Linked DNA regions of Drosophila melanogaster. The protein of the gene in region 1 interacts with the protein of each later gene in a pairwise test. Each region holds a gene or a part of one and is shown in the gene's direction. Other genes may lie near its edges.

Region 1 (4,550 bases):
AGGAGCATATTCGTATATGAACTAACTTAAACATACGTTACATTTTTGGGCATTATAATAGAACTTGAAGCTCTTGGGATAAAAAATATATAAAAAATTATTTTAAAAAAAAACTTTACTCATTTCTTCTGGTCTCATGAAAAAGCACTTCACGGTTTGAAAATTGTGAAGAGTATATGATGAAAAGCTGACACACGTGCGCTGAAGTTAAATGTATATACCACCAGCCAAAAAAAGCATTATCGCAAATTCACCGAAACTTTTCATAAGTTTGGAGAGCGCTGGGGGAGATCGTGTTCGAGAAAAGGTTTTCCCCGTGGGTTGGGTAAAATGTAAATATCGGTGGTAATGGCCGCCGCCCCAGGAGGTGGAAAAATCAACTGACCAGTAACTTTGGAGCCAACTTTGATGGCATCTTGCGAAAGTTGAAAGTGACTTAAGTGAAATTTCCACCTCAGGCGGCTCAGCAGCAGGACGACCTCGTCCCCTTTTCCATGGATTATCGAGGGGTCACGCCATGAACATGAGTAAAAATTAAATTGATTTTCCTCGGACATTGTTCGGACCTGTTCAGAAACTCGGTGTGCTTTTCTTTTTGGCCCTTCATGGGCTTCTGTCAACCCAATGTATTTTGTCGCATCCCTCGGAAAACTTGAGCTGGGCGAACTCCTTTAACTTGCCTATGTGGCATATTAAATTGGTGCGCAAATAGTTGTGTATTTTATTGACTCACTTTTACAGCTCAGCCAAGAGTATTTCGCATCTGCCCAAATTTTTAGCCAGCAAAATATTAAGTTGAGAGCTTTACCCCTGGAGTCTACCAATGCCGCAATACCATTCCTTTTCTACTCGACTTAAGCGACAATTTCATTTCAATTAAATTATAATTATATCTTCAGTTTGGCCCCATCAAGTTTGAGTCAAACAAAAAGTACAATTTTCATTTTCACCTTTGCGAAAGACGAGGCGGGCGTTGATAATTCCCCAAAATTGTTTGACACTTCAAAGTCATTATGAAGATAGCAATCACCAAACCCTGTTCCTCGGTCCGCTCAACTTTTCTCCAAGGGTCCTGGCATATCTTCACGACATTCACTCCCTGCCACTTCCAAGGCTCAGCAATCCTTCAGCTCCAGCCTGCCCCTCGTCCTTTTGCCACTTTACTCAATCCTAAGATGGGAATTGCCACGTCTGTCTACATACCTACATACCCGCAGCGCTTTTTGATGTAATTTTGGCATAAGCCAAAAAATGTTTCCTTTTCCCGAGATGTCTTTGTCTCCACTTCATTCCCCGGCGAGTGGTTTCCGAATGCGACACGCCCTGACAAATTCATCCGGGGAAAATGAGGAAAATGGCTGAAAATTAAATTTGGAATTAAAATTTTGGCCCTGGGCACATAACTTTATGCCGCTGGATTTTCTTTCCGCCCAGAAGGATTTCCTTACTCAAGGATAAATACTTAAGGCAAGCGTAGGCATAATAATAGCTAAGCAGCTTCTCGGAAATTAAGACGATTTAGTTGTTTAATTCTTTGGTTATCACTAGACTCCACAAATAAAGAGATAGATTGAAAATGTAATTAGATAATCAAATATAATTTTCACAGTTTTAAAGTTTAACAATATTGCTTATTTAAATGGTTGCTTTTCACCTCCGAATTTACTTTTAATCTCATAAGCATTTGAACTTGTAGTATTTTTGGCGGCGATATGTTATCAACAAACAACTCTTCCAAAAATAAACCTATATATTATTTTTTGGCAACCAAATACAATGCCACTCTAAATTGTAAATAACATTTAAGCAGCTGATCCAATTCTTGTGTTCAAAACAACAAAATTCAAAGCAATTAATTGTGCGCTGGTTTTTCTTTTTGCCTTTACTTGTATTAGGAATTATTCTTTAAAATATTTATTGATAGAGAAAAAAATATCCAGACTTATATATATCAATGAATTCGGCCACTGCGTCAACAAATCGAATTCTAACTTGTTTTAGCTATTAAAAGCAACAAATAAATGACGTATTAATAAGTACGCTAAAATAAACCAGTTGCAAAACAAACATTTATTTACTGTATATTGTTTCCATTAAGATAGAAATAGGAAAAAATGTAAGTCAATGAATATATACATAGAAAATATTCTTATCAGCTTACCATATGTATGTACAACGGACGTATAAACATATATAATAATTTTTGCATATAAAAAGATTCAAATGCATCTTGTTCTCAAAAATATTAGTCATACATCTTTTCAGATCGTTGCTCTAAATTCATCTGAGACTCGATCAGATGGGCTGTCGGCGATTTTCTGGAGGAGGACATCACCCACACGGAGGTCCACCTCCCCCTCGTCACCATCATCACCATCGTGGCAGACATGGTGCTGGTGGACGCTGTGGACACGGACACCAGCACCAGCCTTTTCCACCACCGCCTCATCGCCCCCATCGACATGGAAGTCACTTTTGGGAGGGATACGGTCCACCTCCACCACCGCCCCATTATCCACCACCAGGGGGATATCTGTATGGTGGCCACCATTGGCAGGGATATCCTCCTCCGCCACCTCCGCCTCCTTCTTCACACCACCCCCCACCATCTGGATCTCCAGCAGGAGGGTGTCCGCATTGCGGTTGCCCAGGAGGCGGTCCACCTCAAAGTGGATTTCCTGGTACCGAAAGACCTCACAACGAAACCTCAAACGACGATCAGCATGGCAGCTTCCAATCTCCAATTCCCGGTGGCGAAGTTCCTACTGATGAAATACCTGGAAAAAATAAATACGAAATCATTGATATTTAGACAACAGTAGAAAATGTTTCAAAAAAGGTAAAGTCACTATGTTATATCTTGTATCTGAGTAATGTCTTATTAATGATTTTATATTATCCGGATTTTCCTGATCAAAAAAATCGAGTAATGTTATGTTGATAAAAACTTTTCAAATATCAAATAAATAAATATAAATAAACAAATAATTTAAAAACTCCTTTATATTTCCGTCATTTCAATATGGTACTGAATTAGTATTAGTATTCTATTCAATTCCGGATTTTTCTGTTTTTCCATTTTCCCTCTTCCAATAAACTGGTTTATTTTATTTTCCATCGTAACCAGATGTTGACGGCAATACTTTTCTGTGATTTCCTTTTACAGGTAGAGACTCAAACTTAAGTCCCTCAGCCAGGTAGAATACCTTTCAGCTACCTACTTGATATTACCAAATCGTGGTATAAAAATCAAAAAAATATTAGAGCCGCCTCAGTACCGAAACTTCAGCCACGATGAAACTACTGGTGCGTCTTCTACTATAGAAATCTTAACTAACTTAGAAATATTTTTATAATAACAAATTTATAACTATAGATTGCTCTGTTTGCACTGGTGACCGCTGTGAACGCTCAGAATGGATTCGGCCAAGTTGGACAAGGAGGATATGGAGGGCAAGGAGGATTTGGAGGATTCGGAGGAATCGGCGGGCAAGCAGGTTTTGGTGGACAAATAGGATTCACTGGACAGGGTGGAGTTGGTGGCCAGGTGGGAATTGGTCAAGGCGGAGTCCACCCGGGTCAAGGAGGATTCGCTGGACAAGGTTCTCCAAACCAATATCAGCCTGGTTACGGAAGTCCTGTGGGATCTGGCCATTTCCATGGAACTAATCCAGTTGAGTCCGGTCATTTTCACGAAAATCCTCATGAATATCCGGAACATCATGGCGATCATCACCGTGAACATCATGAGCACCATGGACACCACGAACATCATGGACATCATAGACATTAGTACAAATATGAGAATACCCATGACAAAATTAAAGGAATGTAATGCTATAGTTCTCTACCGTAAATTCTTAAGAAACACTTGCTTGTTTCTGAAGTCTCTATTGTATCTAATGTCCAGAATTGATTTGTAAAAGTGATTCTTTATCTAAAACCCCCTTGAGATCCACTATACAACGTGCCTTCTTGAATTTCAGTATCTAAAATGAAAAAAAAAACGGAGTCTCAATAAAAAAGTAAATAAGGAAACGGAACCCTTTACTCTGTCCATTTTGGTTGAGGCATCTATAAATTATTTTGCAGATAGCATACAAGCATATATACCCCACACATCCCATCTCAACTTTTGCAATCGGAGAAAAGGATGCCGTCGACCGCTCCCAAGCGACATTTTCTGACCAAAGCAGCTGACAGAATTGAAAAATAAGCGACGTCCGACTAAAAGGGGGAATGGGGAGGGAATGGTAAAGGGTGGGGTTCAGGTGGGTGGGGGCTGAAGGTGAAAAATAAAAAATGGCGTCCAGTCGAGTGCTCAACCTCAAGATTTATAACGAAGGAAAAAAAATAGAGTCGAGGTGAGGGTGGGAAAAAAGAGCACACGTTAAAATAATGCAAAAGCTGAAGAAAACTAAAAAAAATGTGCGGGAAAAACTGCCACCCACACGGCCAAGGAAAGAGTGAGAAGGAAAACCGCACACACACTGATGCGCGCAACAACGGAAATGGAAAGGATAAAATTAATTTTTCTCCTTTATTGCCAT
Region 2 (5,655 bases), on another chromosome or scaffold:
GCTGGGAGTGGCTATCAGTTAAGAAAGTGAAATGCTTCAGGAGCGGTTGCCAAGTTGGTGTTAATACTCGTTAAAACGTGGCGAATGGCAATAATAAGTTAGGAGCGCCCCAATGATTAACAACATATATAGGTAATTTTAACCTAATTACATAGTAATATTGTATATTGTATATTGTAAAGTACCGTTTCAAAATTTGAATCTATTGTAAGTATTTCAACTCCCATATGACGGAATTCTTCATATCTTTAGTTTCTACTTTGATAATAAACACGTTAATGCTTTTTAAATAGCACCTAGGAAATAATTCAGAAAGCGGGTTCGATCCGCTCTACACCCCTGACTTATTTGCACAACTGCAGGCATTGGGTTCAACTTTCTTTTTGACTTCCCAGTTGAGTTGGCGCCGCTCACCTGTTTTCATTACTGTCCGGCAGAGATCTACGGTCTTCCTTGCAGTCGTCCGTCGAGCTACTGCTGACTGGGACCAAATCTGCGCCACTTTCGTTTGCTGACCGGGATGCATTATGGTTCTGGTTGCTTCGAGAGTGCGTCTCGATCACGTTGAGAGCCACCGTCTGCGACACTTGCCGGGAGAAATGAGCCGCATCTGTTGGGGGATCAAAACGAGATCAGAGGTTGAGGAAAACCATCGGGGTTGCGGAACCCACCGCCAGCTCCAACGGCCGCGGCAGCCGCCTCCGTGCTGCTGATGATGCAGAACTCGTCGTCACCCATGTCCCAGGCATCGCTCACCGACTTCTGGTACTCGGTGAAGGTGGACACCATGCCAGATCCGGGGGCAGCGCCGCGACCGACCGCTACCCCAACTGCCGCCGCCTTCTCGAGCTCCCGCTTGGGACTGGGTCGTCCGGGCACTCGACGTCCGCTGTTTTTCCAAAAGGTCGAGGAGTTTGCGCCGGGCGTTGGTCCGGCTCCACTTGCCACGGTTACTACTGCTACACCTGCTCCTGCTGTTCCTGTTGCTGCTGCTGTGGACTCGGCTGTTTCAGTTTGGCTCTTTCCTGCTAATTGCTCTACATTGTTATCCATCATACGTTCCCTAGAGCCGATTCTATGTCAGCGTCATTATATTATTTTGCATCAAAAACAGTGTGACCATGGCAACTATTTACGGCTTTCACCGCACGACACTTCTTGGTAGTGATGAGAGCGTATCGTGATCAAGTGACTGGTGCGAAACCGAACCATATTGATACCCATTACTTGTGGAGAAGAGTGAACCTAGTATAGTTCCGACGAGTCGATCAAGAGATATAAATGATTAAAAATGAAAACTCGTAATTCAAGACATTTTTCTATGCAAAAGCTTTTAGAAATATGGAAAAAAGGTATGTAATTAAAAAATATTTAATAAAGACCGTAATCTTTGAGGTATAAACATAACGAAAATGTTTTGTACAGAGTTCTTCTTTCTGCAATATTAAGTAGTATAATTAGGTAATTTTAATTAATGGTAGTAATGGTATTACTTATTAGCAAAGAATAAAAGGGAAACTATGCACCGTTATATGTTTCGATGCGTGACTTTGACCGCTCACCTGGCAACCCTGGCGAATGCGCTTTGGATTTCGACTGCAAACGTACACGGCCACTCAATACAAAACAAGTGTCTTTCGGTGTGATAAGAACCAGAACCCGCAATCAACGATTTCATTATTCGGTGGATCAATTGCAAGCTCCAAAACTATGCCATAAGGGGCAGTCGCCATTTAAGCAGTCAGTGTGGAAACAGCAAGATGCAAAAGCAAGAAGAGACGCTGTCGCGCCTGCGAACGATATTCGACATATTTTTACGCGAGAACTTTTCCACTACGAACAATGTTTACTTTGAGAAGCTCCTCACGCACTTGCAGGCCAAGGGTGAGTTTACCAATCGGAGTGGCCCCGCAATCTGCCCTTAAATCCTCAAATGAATCCCATCTGTCCGCAGAGAATGCCTTTGTGCTGCAGGCCCCATTCGTGGTGGAATGGGTGGACAGGTGCATCACGGCGGTGACCGAGGACTTCAAAAAGATCCACCCGAAGGTGATATCCTTCATGCTGAATCTGACCAGTTTTCTGGCGAACAACGAGTGGATGATCGTGCGCCTAAGAGAGCTTGATATAGTAAACAGGTAAATGGTAGGATAGAAAACCAGGCTCTAATCTCTTAAAATAATCGACTACCATTTTAGAGCAGTGAAACTACTACAGAGGGAACACAACTTAAGCCCATCGATTAAGTTAGGTGGCATACGTCTGATGAAAGCCATCACCGTGTATAGCATGGGGCTGGCCTTTCTGCGGATGCACCGGATCTGGACGCTGCTCATCCAGTATTCCAACAACGATCACACGCTGTACGTGGTGCGGGAGGCCCGCCAAGTGCTTTACAACATGGTGTACAAGTCCTGCGACAAGCTGCACGATAAGGCTGTTACCCTGGAGATTCTGTCGGAGATTATGCAGCCGATTCACGACAATCTTTATAAGAACACCGACGGCGTGGAGCGCATCCACGTCAAGGTGGACGACAACGAGATGTTGCACAAGATCTCGTCGACACTGGATCTACTGTCCTACATACTACAGCAGACGCTGGTGCTCGAGGAGCGCACCACTCTGATCATCCTGCTCAAGGAGCATCACGACTTCGAGATTACCGTTTGGAAGCTGATCGATATGACCCACAACCCGTACTTTACTGAGAAGATCTTCACCACACTGAGCAGCTACAACTTTGCCCTGCTGTTGCACGAAAAGTTGCTGAATCCGAACGCCACCGAGCCGTCGGAGGAGTTCACCGAGTTCGGGTTGGCATTCTTTAATCTCATGAAATTCCTTATTACCCGCAAGGACGGCTTGAGTTTTGTGAAGTTGGCGGAGCTCAATCATGTACTTTGGAAAAAACTTGGACCTCGTGCGCCCAAGGAAATTGTCATCCAACAAGAGCGCGTTACGTTTGAAAACCAGCTAATCTGCTTTCACATGCTGCCGTTGCTCTTCTCCATGAAGTACGCACAGAAGATCGCCGACGAGGAGAGCAAGATAGAGCTCTTCGACGCCTATGTTGTCAAGTTGCTGGAGATCTCCTGCGAACAGACCTTGCGGCTCTGCTACACAATGCGGGACAACTTCTTTTCTGCAGACGGCATGGCTGTTGGCTTGGTGACGGCCGGCCTGGCAAACAAGTGCATACATAGCCTGTTGGCCCTGGAAAACGTTCTCGATCGAGAGCAGGCGGTTACTGTGTGCCAAGCTTTGCTATATGTGCTCCGCGAGGCAGTGGCCATGAGTGTCATCACAAATAATGGGGAGGATGACTGTCACAGCGTGAGCAGCGCGGGCAGCTCCTACCTAAAATTGTACCCCCGGGGCACCGAACAGGTCGTTAACGATCCACAAGTTTTGCATTCCGTAATGGTGGGTTTGCGCACCTTGATCGAACGCTTTAAGATCACGTGGAAGGAGTCGGTGGAGACCATTGGCCTGGTCAATTGTCTGGCATTTGTCCTGGAGAACACAAGCATGGATGCTAGGGTAAGCAAAACAAACTCTCATTTCTAGCGGGTTAAAATAGTAAAATGTGATTCTTCATTTGCAGTGCACTGTCCAAGCGCTGAAGCTCGTCCAACTCGCTGTGGAGCATTTCCTTTCACCGAACATGGCTCTTTTGGTGGACAACTTGCAGGGCTCCGCGCTGGTCTGTCTGGGTCCCATTATTGTGAAGCGAATGCACGACACAATGTGGGAGGTGCGTGACACAACGCTGGAGCTTACCACCTCTATAGCCAGTATCTCCCGCATCAGTAAGCGTGTGATTATCTTAACGTAGTGCCTAACATTAATGATACGTTGCTTCTACAGAGTTTCCCGCCTTCCAACGCTTTCTAATCGACTCAAAGATACCCCCGATAGTTTACGAAATGGCCAAGAATGACTCGGAAGTCTATGTAAGAGCGTCTGCCTTCCAGTGTCTTTCCCAAATGGTCTCCATAAACCTTTTGTGGGAGAATGGTCTAAGCCAGCTCGATCTTGTAGTGAGTTAATCTATTTACACATATACTCGGAAAAAATTATTAATTAAACACTTTGAATTCTCGACAGGACCATCTTTTGTTTGTAATGTATCGGGAGACCAACGATATCGTGAGATCCGAGGCCGTGATTACGCTGATGAAGATCTACGAGCACCGCAAGATCCACGAGAAGTACAAGAACACCCTCTTCTCAACCCTCAACTATTGTGTAATCGGGGATCATCACACGGAGGTGAAGCTGAATGCTTTAAATTTTTGGCGCCGCGAGTTCTACCGCCAGTTTAGCAATCAGGGCATGATAGATGGCTCTTTTCCCACAGTGACCTTCTCTAAGGAGCAGAAGAAGATTGTCACGCTGACGGAGAAAGAGATCCAAACCAGCATTGCCAAAGTTTTTGGTGAAGTACAGCAGTACGGATATTTTGGCATCCTACTCAAGTGCCTGCGCGAGGAGACTTCAATGGAGGTTTTGGAATTCCTCATTAAAGGCGTCAAGACCATGACGGAGAAGTTCGAGCGCTACAAGGGCATAATGGAGGAGATTGAAATGAGATCGCCGCTCTCAGACAGAGAGCGGCCAAGATTCGACTTCCCGTCCCAGCCGCAGCCAACTCCGATTCCACAGCAGCCACCGGTCAATCCCACCGAGGCGGACGAAGTCATCGAGTCCATATTGAACTCGCAGGATGCACAGCTCCTGGAGAAGGCGTTTGAGACCCAGATGCAGATAAACGCGCAAGGGAAAACAGCGGAGAAGCGGCACATCGATGAGTTCTACTATAAGCAGTTCGCGGTGCCATTGCGGCAGTTCTTTGAGGAGCTCAAGACCATTGACCTGGACCAGTTGGTTAAGCAGCACCAGGAGTGGTTCGAGTGCAAGGAGAACTTTACCTCCCTGCTGGATGACATCCTCGGTGCGCTGAAGCGCGACGATGAGAACATGATTTCGGACTGTTACTAATTCCGAGCTAAGCCGTTTTCCAGTCAAAAAAAACCTCTCTGTGAAGTAAGCTAAAAGTTTTTTCCGTGAAATAGATAATATTTTTGATAACTACGTTTTGAACATAAAATGAGATTTTATTTCGCCGGCGCAGATAAAATAAATAACAATACAGTAACAAAACAATGTTTTAAATGACTAAACATATTTCAAATCAAGACGACCCATATTTAAACGTTTTTGTTCCTTTTTTTAATTTTTGGTGTGCTGGTCACACTGTTCGCGTCGTGTTTGTTTTGGTTTTCTGTTGGTGGTGACACACTTTTAGAGCGATGTGAGCCGAGTTTTTATCGATGCATCCATAAGAGAAACTACTTTTTACTTCTTACAAAAATGTTGTATAAGGTAGATTTGCCAATTTTTAAAACGCAAAAACCCGAAATATAGTAAACTTCGATATTGATAACTTAGCCGATATTATCGTATGGTGTTGGGAATCGATAGTGCCGGCACCGAGCCTTCCCACTATCGACGAGCCCATCGACTGCAGCACATCTTCAGCGCATAGATGCAGCGAAAAGCGGATCGTCTCGCGTTCGAATTTGCACGCACTGCTGCATAAATATTAAAAAAGCACTGGGAACATGCAGTTGCACAAACGGAGAGCCAAGC

Evidence for each region. The genes of interacting proteins can lie anywhere in the genome.
Region 2: the proteins of sala (region 1) and CG7044 interact in a two-hybrid assay, tested with the Drosophila melanogaster proteins (one large-scale study listed by BioGRID).

The regions. Positions count from the first base shown.
Region 1 is NT_033779.5:11,482,916-11,487,465, forward strand, and holds sala (spalt-adjacent), read left to right. Parts: upstream 1-1,791; 5' UTR 1,792-2,116; intron 2,117-2,265; 5' UTR 2,266-2,299; coding exon of another isoform or gene 2,300-2,812; 5' UTR 2,813-2,839; exon of another isoform or gene 2,840-2,868; intron 2,869-3,166; 5' UTR 3,167-3,294; coding exon 3,295-3,306; intron 3,307-3,376; coding exon 3,377-3,793; 3' UTR 3,794-4,034; downstream 4,035-4,550. Other genes in the region: CG43355 (uncharacterized protein), read left to right, coding at 2,300-2,812. UniProt on the Drosophila melanogaster protein: Likely to be involved in the establishment of the head.
Region 2 is NT_033777.3:21,097,678-21,103,332, reverse strand, and holds CG7044 (uncharacterized protein), read left to right. Parts: upstream 1-1,614; 5' UTR 1,615-1,760; coding exon 1,761-1,884; intron 1,885-1,954; coding exon 1,955-2,138; intron 2,139-2,198; coding exon 2,199-3,543; intron 3,544-3,607; coding exon 3,608-3,812; intron 3,813-3,870; coding exon 3,871-4,043; intron 4,044-4,110; coding exon 4,111-5,004; 3' UTR 5,005-5,104; downstream 5,105-5,655. Other genes in the region: Tbc1d22 (TBC1 domain family member 22), read right to left, coding at 415-610, 672-1,056.